3 linked regions of the Arabidopsis thaliana genome follow. The protein of the gene in region 1 interacts with the protein of each later gene in a pairwise test. Each region holds a gene or a part of one and is shown in the gene's direction. Other genes may lie near its edges.

Region 1 (4,296 bases):
ACAGCAAACTCGATGATAATTGAAAAGATGGAACTTTTTGGAACTGACCAAGTAAGCAGCAAAACCCAGATACACATTCGAATTACATCTCTTTGAATCAACAAAGGACACATTTTTTTTCCAATACGACCAAGTAAAGCCTAACTCAGATCCGTAAAATTGAAAAATTGAATTTGGGGGAAGAAACTAACAGAGGGATTAGAAGGATCGGAGGGACGATGTTGACTGAAATTGTGAGGATCAAAGGAAGGCAAATCACCCAGAATCGACGCCATTGGAATCGTGATTGATGATCTTTCCTTCTCTTCAGACAGAGAGAGAGAGAGACGAGAGATATAAAAGGGAGAAACGAAAAAGGGTTTATGGGCCCATTGGGCCTACCTCTAGAACCAGCTTCAAATTAATGTTTCTCTAAATAACAATAGAGATTCTGTTTTTTATATATGAATATGAATAAAGAAACAATTTATTTACAAAAAAAGAAAAAAAAAATATGAATAAACAATTATGGTTCATAGGAATATTTCAAGAAAATTAATTAAGTGCCTATATCAACAAGGTTCACTTTTTGATTCTATAATTTGTGTTGAAATTTTTTTAGTAAACGTATTTGAGTTAATCGGTTCAAGATATAATCTATTAAGAAATTATTTTCAAATTTGTGCGAGTGAAAATAAAATTATGGAATCTGCGGATGGTTTATGTTGGAGTGTTATATTTTTATAGAATCGATAAGTGAATTTGATTTCGTAAGTATTCTCCAAAATTGTTTTCTAGACTAGTCAAATTGATTAATTTTTTTTTATATTTTGATCTCAATTCACTTTCATTCATAAATATGAATTAATAAAATTCCATCTTCCTTCGATGACCATCGAAACTGAAAATATTTATCTTTCAATTGTGTAATTTCACTGTTTTTTTCCTTAAGAAAGAGTCTGAAAAAGATGAGGAAGAAAGAAAAACACATGCACTCTCTTCTTCGCATATATGTCTTTCAGTGAGATTAATGTTGGTTTTTTACATATGTAGCATTCATTATAGGTCAAAGGAAACTTCCACGTGTTTATAGAGTTAAAAGGCTTGATTTATTTTGGGGGTCAAATAAGATTCTTAACCACTACAACCATAATAACATGTTTATGTTGAATTAGTCGCTTATCCGTATTAAATTTAGAGCCACGCCACTTGAATTGTATGAGATACATAAAAAAAACAAGGAAACTAAATCATTCTACTTAGCATTTTACCAAGTTACATTGATTTTGACTCTAAATTCAACCTGAACATACGTTTTATGATGTATGTATGCAATGTCTACTACACCTTTCCACTATAAGTTCAATTAAATTGATAGGATTCAATGGTTTACTAGTATATGATCGTACAGTATATCATGTGTGTTCGAAAGAAAAACAAAAACAAAAGTCACTTAAAATATATAGTTGAATCAAGTACAATTGATGATCTATGAAACTTTTAATTAACATATACATGTGAGGTATGACTAAAAACACTAATTAATACTAATTACTTAAAGATATTTAGGTACGTATATTCGAGTAGTAAATATTTATTGAAATATAACCACATGTCGACATATTAGACCAAGCCAATACAAATCTCTCATATAAAAAAGAAGAAAAAGAAGAAAAAAAGAGATAGGAAAAATGAGGGAGATAATAATAAAAGTTTAATAACACAAGGAAACTAAATGGAGGTAAAAAGCAGTTGAACAGAAAATTAGGTGAACTTAGTTGGCCTCAATGCCCTTTTACCCTTACTTCTTCTTCTTCTCCTTCTTTTTTCTTCACAATCTATCATTACACATCTATAAATATTGTGAGAGATAGAGAAAGAAAGAGACTTATAACAATGGACAGAGAAGACATAAATCCTATGTTAAGCCGCCTAGATGTCGAAAACAACAACACCTTCTCTTCCTTTGTAGACAAAACCCTAATGATGATGCCTCCATCAACATTTTCCGGTGAAGTGGAACCTTCATCTTCTTCTTCTTGGTATCCAGAAAGCTTTCATGTGCATGCGCCGCCATTACCACCTGAGAATGATCAAATAGGTGAGAAAGGGAAGGAGCTGAAAGAGAAGAGATCGAGGAAAGTTCCAAGGATTGCGTTTCATACGAGGAGCGATGATGATGTTCTTGATGATGGTTATCGTTGGCGAAAATATGGGCAGAAATCTGTCAAGCACAATGCTCATCCCAGGTACTTTTACCTATATAGTTGTATTAATTAAGAGTATTTATAATTTTATTCGTGAATCTATGACATCATATTAAAATTGATTTCCAAATATTGGATCGACCAAAAACTTTCGTGGCTACAAAACATTAGGTTAGCTTAACAACCAGTACGATCTAGTCTTGTGTTTAACATTAAACTGATATATGTAGAAAATGTATCTTTTAGTTGCAAAAATACCATAGTTTTTAGGTTTAGCTAGTAATAGTTATATAACGAAATCAATCCCTTACTAAAGCCTATAACGAAATCTGTCGTACGTACTTTTCGAAAATTTATGATGTGATGATAATTTTCGAAAACAAAGCATGAGAATAGATGTGATTTTTAAAAAAGGATTATCCTATAGTTTTCTTTTCTGATAATTTGATTATCCTATAATATAGTTAATTATTGTGCAATTATATAATCTTAGAAACATGTATAAACCTGATATAGGGATTCTCTTTATGTGCTACCACATCCGAGTATGAAATTGTTTGGAAAGGGATGATTTACTCAAATATGTATAATGTATCCATCAATATTCTGGTCAAGAAAATGATCTTAATTAGTTCTAGATCAGTATAAAATATATAGTTTCTTATGGGCTTATGGCTCATATATATATGAAAACTTCATCCAGATGAAAAGTAATTTAATTTGCTTCCTTGTTTTTTATTCCTTTTTGCTAGGGAATCAAAAGCAGAGATAAATCCAATTCTACTTCATTTTATATGATATTTACGTTCTTAGCAAAAAATAGAAAAAAAAAATAGTTTCATGAGACTTCATAGAAATTAAAATCAGTCTTGCATAGACACCCAAAACTTCTACTTATTTTTCATATGAATTATAAAAAAAAATTTGAAGAATTAATAGATGAAACTATTAATCTTGTGTCACAAAATGCAGGAGCTATTACAGATGTACGTACCACACATGCAACGTGAAGAAACAAGTGCAGAGATTGGCAAAAGATCCAAACGTCGTCGTAACGACCTACGAAGGCGTTCATAACCATCCTTGTGAGAAGCTCATGGAGACTCTTAATCCTCTTCTCAGGCAACTCCAGTTCCTCTCCAGTTTCTCTAATCTTTGAATATATAATGGCTTAATTAATGGTGTAATTACTTAAAGGTGATTAAGGTGTTAATCACCCCACTGACCGTTTGACGACCCACATCTCCCAAGTGACAAGTCACAAGTGTGTAGATCAGATTTTAAACCAATGTAACAGTTACGACTTTTTACAAATGTTTCTGAATTTTATCCCCTGATTTCTGGTTTATGATCGGTTTACGCCGATGATTTGACAAATACCAGACAAAACAAGTTTAGTTACATATGTAAGTATGAAAAGGTAGTTTCCTCTAACTTCATTAAACCCACCCTCATTCTCTACAACTTCTTTGATATTTTTCTACATACTTAACAGAGAGAAGTTAGGGTCCAGACATTTGGTAACTAGAGAATTCTAAAGAAGAAAAACATGCTTCAGAGAGAGAGAAAACTTGTACAAATAATCAACCGGAAGACATTTGAAAGATGATACGTTGTCGATTTTTGTTTGTGATTACTCTTTCAAATCCCAAAATTCATCACTAAACCGGCCAAAGTATGTATTATGGTCCTTTATGCATAAATGTCTTACACAAGAAAACCAAAACACTTTGCATCCAAAACCTAACTAACTCAAACTAGTTCTGGGCAAAAAAAAACCAGTTCAGAAAACTAAGGGAACTTATTGGGTACAAGAGTAATTGATAACACTTATAGTTTGATCGTCATTACAAGTTAACAGCAAGCTAAATACAAACTAATCCCTCATAAACAGAATACGACTTGCGCACCGGAATCCTAAACTCTGTTCATGGCGTGGGAAAGTGATAAAGTTACTAATTTATTATGTTAAGTGTTGTGTCCTAACTCCTAAGTACCAACTTCCCCTTGTTCTAGCCTCTCAAGTTCTCCATCAAGATGTCGGTCCAGTAGGCCTAACAATGCCAGGAGGAGCGGGCACCGGATGGTTTCGGTTTCCTAAAACTGTCTC
Region 2 (2,988 bases), on another chromosome or scaffold:
TGAATGTTATTATCTCAATACTCTCTTACTTTCTTTGGTCAAAATTATCTCTTTTAAATGATTTTTTTATCCTGTCACAAAAAAAAACATATCCTTGTTTTATTTAGCTTTGGAAAAAAAAACAAGAAACTTGATATATCTTTTCAGACATCACATACTCTGCTTCAATGGCTACATCTCTTCAAACCAAATACACTCTAAATCCCATCACAAACAACATCCCAAGAAGCCACCGTCCATCGTTTCTCCGTGTCACTTCCACCACCAACTCTCAGCCTAACCATGAGATGAAGCTTGTTGTTGAGCAACGACTTGTGAATCCTCCTCTCTCCAACGACCCAACTCTACAATCTACATGGACTCACCGGTTATGGGTTGCAGCTGGCTGCACCACCGTGTTTGTCTCTTTTTCCAAATCAATCATTGGAGCATTTGGTTCTCATCTCTGGCTCGAACCATCTTTAGCCGGTTTCGCCGGGTATATCTTAGCAGATCTAGGTTCTGGTGTGTACCACTGGGCCACCGATAACTACGGTGATGAGTCTACGCCTCTAGTAGGAATCCATATCGAAGACTCTCAAGATCATCACAAGTGTCCATGGACAATCACCAAACGGCAATTTGCAAACAATCTACATTTTATGGCTCGAGGCACAACCTTGATAGTTCTCCCACTAGACCTTGCTTTTGATGACCATGTGGTTCATGGCTTTGTAAGCATGTTTGCATTTTGTGTATTGTTTTGTCAGTTGTTCCATGCTTGGGCTCATGGAACGAAGAGCAAGCTTCCACCTCTTGTGGTTGGGTTGCAAGACATTGGGCTTCTTGTTTCACGGATACATCACATGAATCATCACCGAGCACCGTATAACAACAATTACTGCGTAGTGAGTGGGGTGTGGAACAAGGTTTTGGATGAAAGCAATGTCTTTAAGGCAATGGAGATGGTGTTGTATATCCAACTTGGGGTGAGACCGAGGTCATGGACCGAGCCAAACTACGAATGACGGAAGAAACCGACATATCCAAATGTTAGCCGTCACTTTTAGCTATATTCTTCGCTTTAAGTGGGAAAAACTCGATTTTTTAGCCGCGGCTTCGAGATTAATTTATATTTAGTTTAAGATATAATATGTCAAAAACCAAATGTTTTCTTTTACTTAAAAACATGTAGATCACAATTGTGATAGATTTGATAAGTTTAATATATCATTTTTGGGTAAATGTAACAATTTCTAAAATGTTTGCATTGTATGGAAAGTGATATTCAAGGTTTGTAGATAGGATATCTTTCTCCGTTATACATATTTTTTTTTTCTATGCGGATAATTGAGTCTCATCACTTATCGAGATATCTCTTTACATTATTGCTTTTACTCTGACACTCGGAAGCAAAAGTTTTGTTTGCTTGTTATATTGTGTAGTTGTGGACCTAAACAGTTTTCAGGATCCTAACGGAAGGTAACTAATTAAGGCACAACCTTATTTCATACCACCCAACCAAAGTTCAAATGTTTAATTTATATCTAATAATTTCTTATGCGTTAATATATACTTAATCTTTTAAATAAAATTAAATTACATACCTAATTTATCAAATTATATGCAAAATTATATATTCTGCTGACGTTAGATACCACATATTTGATGATAATGATGACATGAATGCCATGTTACTAATGACACCGTTGCCATGTCATCTAGATTATTTTTTAACAAAAACTACGTTAATCCAAAAATGTACTCATTGCTTTTCACCTAACATTTAAATAAACAAGAAAATAAAAATAGTTAGCACACCCACGTTGACATTTCAATTCCATGAATCATCCCATCTCGTTCCCATTCATTTCACTTAAAAGTCAAAAACCAAGTAAGCCGCAAAAGAAGATCATAAAACCCAAAATGACTTACACGCTTCAAAACGTTGACATAATAATGCCGTCCACACACTTATAAATACTTATATGTGTACACACAAAGCCATCAAGGTAAGACACTTCGCTTCAAATCATTTGTGTATTACAGAAACTTCTGATCGTCATGGAAGCTACTTCACAACCATGTTTCTCTCATAACTCCTCACTTCATTCGACCCGTAAGCAACCGGCAAAGCCATGGAAAAAACCCGTAACGGGCTTGCCTCAGAGGATGCATCCTAAAGTTTACAGAGTCGAGCCTGTTAACTTCAAGGAGTTAGTTCAGAGGCTAACTGGTGCAGAAGACGTTGAGCAAGAGGTACATCAAGTTGAAGCTAAACCAGTCAAGATTTCTGATGATACAACAACAGCTAAGGATAATCCGTTCGCGTTTGATCTTTCACCTTCGTCATCTCGGTTCTGGGAAGCTTTCCCTCTGCTTAGTCCTGCTAATCTATCAAGATGGTAGCAAGAAAGAAGCTATTCTTGCCAATTTTTCGGCAATTCATGAATTTGTTTCATCAGAATTAGAACTGTAGTAGTAACACTTTATGATCTTATCTTTAAATACAAAAGTTACTGTTACATTACAAAACTACAATTTGATATAACCAATGATTCAAAACCGACCTTTTCGAACATTTGTTTACGAAATTTACGCGCTACCTATTGATCCCAGTAGTTTCTCAGCTGCGACATGTGAAGAAGAAGCTCGTCTCTGCCTAAACCAGATACACTACTCGTCAAAATCCAAGGAGGATGTACTTTAAAATTCTCTCTAATGATTTGTTGGAAAGCTTTAATGTTCTCATCAGGTCTTTTCCCTTTCGTTGCTTTCATTTTATCGCATTTCGTAAACACGAAAGTCATCGGTACCTGAAAAATCATCGAAAAACGTCATTTAACAAGTCCTCAAAGCAACATTTCACTGAACACACAAAAGCCAGAATTGGTACCACATACATTGTTGCGACCAAGCCAATTAGCACAATCAAGATCAATCTTCTGAGGAGGAACACTTGCATCGATGAGAAGTAGAACACAAACAAGACTGTCTCTATTCAAGAAG
Region 3 (3,395 bases), on another chromosome or scaffold:
TTTTAAAGCATATTAAAATAACAAAGAAATGTACGTACAAACGTAAGGGACAACGAACAGACAAAAAAAACAAACAGTAGATGGGAGAGATCCGAGGTGTGTAAGAAATATTGAAATAAAGGCCAAATTTTATTGAAAATTGAATCGGTCCTTCAAGTAGTAGTATTAATTTATTTGAGTTTTTCTTTCCCGACGCATAATAATTTGGTTCCATTAAATATGACAGTGCCTAAACAATAACAATAGGCAGAGTTAGATCCAAATGTTAGCTACATGATGCAATAGTACGCGTGCGGTGGTGTGTTTACGCGTGATCCTATAATCTCGAGGTCTCAGCTTTTCCAATTTAAAATTCTATATAAGTTTTGGCTTGTGACTTGTTGCTCGGGCTTTCATCCGTACAAATGTGTTTACTTCATCTTACCTGATGATATTTGGGCTCATTTTTGGGCTTACCAGGATTACTGATAGCATCTGGACCAGATTTTTTCTTTCTTTCTTAATTTCTAGTTAGAACCCATAAGGAAATATTTGTGTGTTACAAGCTAACATGTGGTGTTGCACAAGATTTTGTTGGTGCATATTGTGCATCAAATGGAGATTCTAGTTAAAACTCACTAGAAAAATTGAATGAAAACTGCTAAAAAAAACGAAAAAAAAAAAAAAATTACAATCTAAGCTAAGGAAAAAGGACTACAAGAGTGGTTTTGGGGTTGGATTAAGTTTTTTATTTGTTTTCGATTCTCTGGGTATGGTAAGCCCTTTGAATAAGATGATAAGTGTGAGTTATATCATGCTGGTGAAAGTATATTATAATCTATGTATGTACCAACTAGTAGTTGCTAATAGGTCTTTAACGGATCGATGAGGACAAAGAGGCTGACTTTGTAAGTCTTGTGACTCTTGTTATTTCACAAAACTATTTTGGTTTAACAACATTGATACAAAACAAAAACAAAAAAACTATTTTGGTTTAGTAATGGAAAGTTTAATATGTACAAAAAGGCTTTTGACTTTTGATAAACAATAAGTGTTTTACAAGTTGTGTTCGATTTCTCATCGGACATGGAGTATTATAGTTAATTAAGCGGACAAAAAAACAAATATATTTTGTATACTTGTAGTTAGGAAACTGTGTTAAATAGCCCGAGCTACTTGTTAGTTGTTGCAATCATTGAACGTATCGATGATTGTTAGCCGAAACTCGTACATCTTTTTTTCTCGAAGAAAAGAAGTTTCATACATTTTTTCATTACAGAACATTTATCTTCTTTTCAAGCAAAAATTCAGAGTAGGAGGATATTGATATTCACATACAAGAAGCTCAATTAGCCGATTCTGTCTAAAAATAGGTACGTAAGATTTTAAATTGCCCAATTGCAAAAGAAATATCGTCTGTTGTTTATTTATTTCAACAGGGTGAATTAATGTATATATACAAGAAAACAATGTCCATGATATAATTTATAATACCCAGCAATTTGGGGATAACAAATAGATTAATGGTTTCAGCTGCCTGTAAGTAGGTTTAATTATTTATTTTATACTTTTAAAAGCCGATAGTTTTGAACATTTTCATAAATTTCTTATTACGTAAAAGGAGAGAAGTAAATCCATTTCAACCATCTGCAGCCAACCTTGCATGGTCACAGCCAGTAATATTCAAAGATGACCAAATATGAAGACATCTCCACCAAAATAATATTGCAATTTATTTCTGAAATAACTAAAATCGCTTGAACTATATTTTAAATTTTTGAAGAAGTGGAAAAGTTGCAAAGGGGAATGCTTGCAATTTCATATAAAAAAAGAGCAATTCAAGATTTTCGGCCCTTGAGTTTTTGATGTGTTAGAAATTAATAATCAACAGGATATACCTGAGGCATGTTATAATACTATTCAACGACAACGGCCGTTTTACTATAAAACTGTAATCGTAAATAAATAAAGTCAACGGTCAGAATCGTTGGCTGCAATAAAATACGATTTATTTAGTTTTAACCATACTTACACGCAAATGTAATTCTACATATATACGTATTATATCAACAAGAACTCTGTTTATTTTCAAAGCTTTCTTGATCTTTCATTCTCCATTCTCTTGATATATTCACCTACCATGATTCCAACAAGATGCAATGAGATCAACGGCTCACGTCCTTCGTCGCTAAAACTCGCCGGAGAATCCCACACCATCAAGAAAACGTCGTCTTGCAAGTCGAAGCCACGACCACATGGACGGGCATCTCCGGTTATCATCTACGCGCATTCTCCAAAAGTGATCCACACGCGTGCCGAAGACTTCATGGCCCTGGTTCAAAGGCTGACGGGTCTAGACGAGATTATTAGACGGAACACTAGTGAATCTTCCTCTTCTGTTGTGACGGAAGAGGTTAACGTCGGGGATGATAACACGGCGGCTCCGTTTAGTCAGGATAGAACACAACGACAGAAGTTAACTGATATGCCGTTGTTCACACCGAGCTCGATGACCTTGTTTGGTTCTCCAACTCAACTTATGTATATGTCACCGAACCGGACCGATTCATTTCGACCCTTGGTTTTTAAGTCCGAATAAGACTTCTTAGCAAAAAAAAAAAAAAGTTCCAATAAGACTTCCCATAAAATATGCTTTTATGATTTCTATTTTATATGTATACAATTGGTTTGTTCATTCGTTCGTTCATAAGTTGTTTCACTGTGATTAGTTGGTGTAAATGTCACTTAACTTTACAAACTAAAAACAATGTCACTTAATATCTGTATTTGGTTGTTTTAAACATGAAAGTTAAGGGTTTACCTGTTCTTTTTACATAAATTATTCCATAAATCTCAGCGACAACGTGTGGGCTTCAACAAAATATTTGAAGACCAGAAATGCATTATTGGGCTTCGCATTAAAATGAGCTTCAAGCTCATCTTAGAAAGTTTTTCTAATGACGGTCTATGTGCCATCTTAACAATTCTTTGAGGAAGTTTTATAACTAGAAAAAATGTAAAACTGAAGGTGGAGATGAGTATTAGTTATTTTTATTGATTTCTAGTAGCCTCCCCAAAGTAAAACAGTAGTAGAAATTTTGGAAACATTAAAACCAAGTAGAAAAAACTGGAAACTAATGGCATACAATTAAATAAATTGTGTTTTATTTTGTTAAGTGTAGCATGTTCACCTCAACAAATTGATAGTTCATCTGAAACTGAGACCATCAGGAGAGGCTAAAAAAAGAGTCCTTTTCTTGATATAATTTTGTTATAGACCTTTAGGGCCCTCTTCCTGAGCCCAAATAACTTATTAAAACATATTTATCTCTATATTTGTCATATATAGATCCTAGGCCCGTTATCAACATGCCATGTTGACAAAAAAAAAAAAAAAAAATCATTCATGCCACTAT

Evidence for each region.
Region 2: the proteins of WRKY24 (region 1) and AT2G22880 interact in a two-hybrid assay, tested with the Arabidopsis thaliana proteins (2 studies listed by BioGRID).
Region 3: the proteins of WRKY24 (region 1) and PDE337 interact in a two-hybrid assay, tested with the Arabidopsis thaliana proteins (2 studies listed by BioGRID).

Annotation. Positions count from the first base shown.
Region 1 is NC_003076.8:16,622,345-16,626,640, forward strand, and holds WRKY24 (WRKY DNA-binding protein 24), read left to right. Parts: upstream 1-1,812; 5' UTR 1,813-1,875; coding exon 1,876-2,228; intron 2,229-3,158; coding exon 3,159-3,345; 3' UTR 3,346-3,633; downstream 3,634-4,296. Other genes in the region: AT5G41560 (DET1 complexing ubiquitin ligase), read right to left, coding at 192-275; AT5G41580 (RING/U-box superfamily protein), read right to left, coding at 4,219-4,296. UniProt on the Arabidopsis thaliana protein: Transcription factor. Interacts specifically with the W box (5'-(T)TGAC[CT]-3'), a frequently occurring elicitor-responsive cis-acting element.
Region 2 is NC_003071.7:9,740,519-9,743,506, reverse strand, and holds AT2G22880 (VQ motif-containing protein), read left to right. Parts: upstream 1-2,043; coding exon 2,044-2,388; downstream 2,389-2,988. Other genes in the region: AT2G22890 (Kua-ubiquitin conjugating enzyme hybrid localization domain-containing protein), read left to right, coding at 168-1,007; EMB2001 (P-loop containing nucleoside triphosphate hydrolases superfamily protein), read right to left, coding at 2,586-2,795, 2,883-2,988.
Region 3 is NC_003070.9:25,660,904-25,664,298, reverse strand, and holds PDE337 (VQ motif-containing protein), read left to right. Parts: upstream 1-2,022; 5' UTR 2,023-2,119; coding exon 2,120-2,578; 3' UTR 2,579-2,812; downstream 2,813-3,395.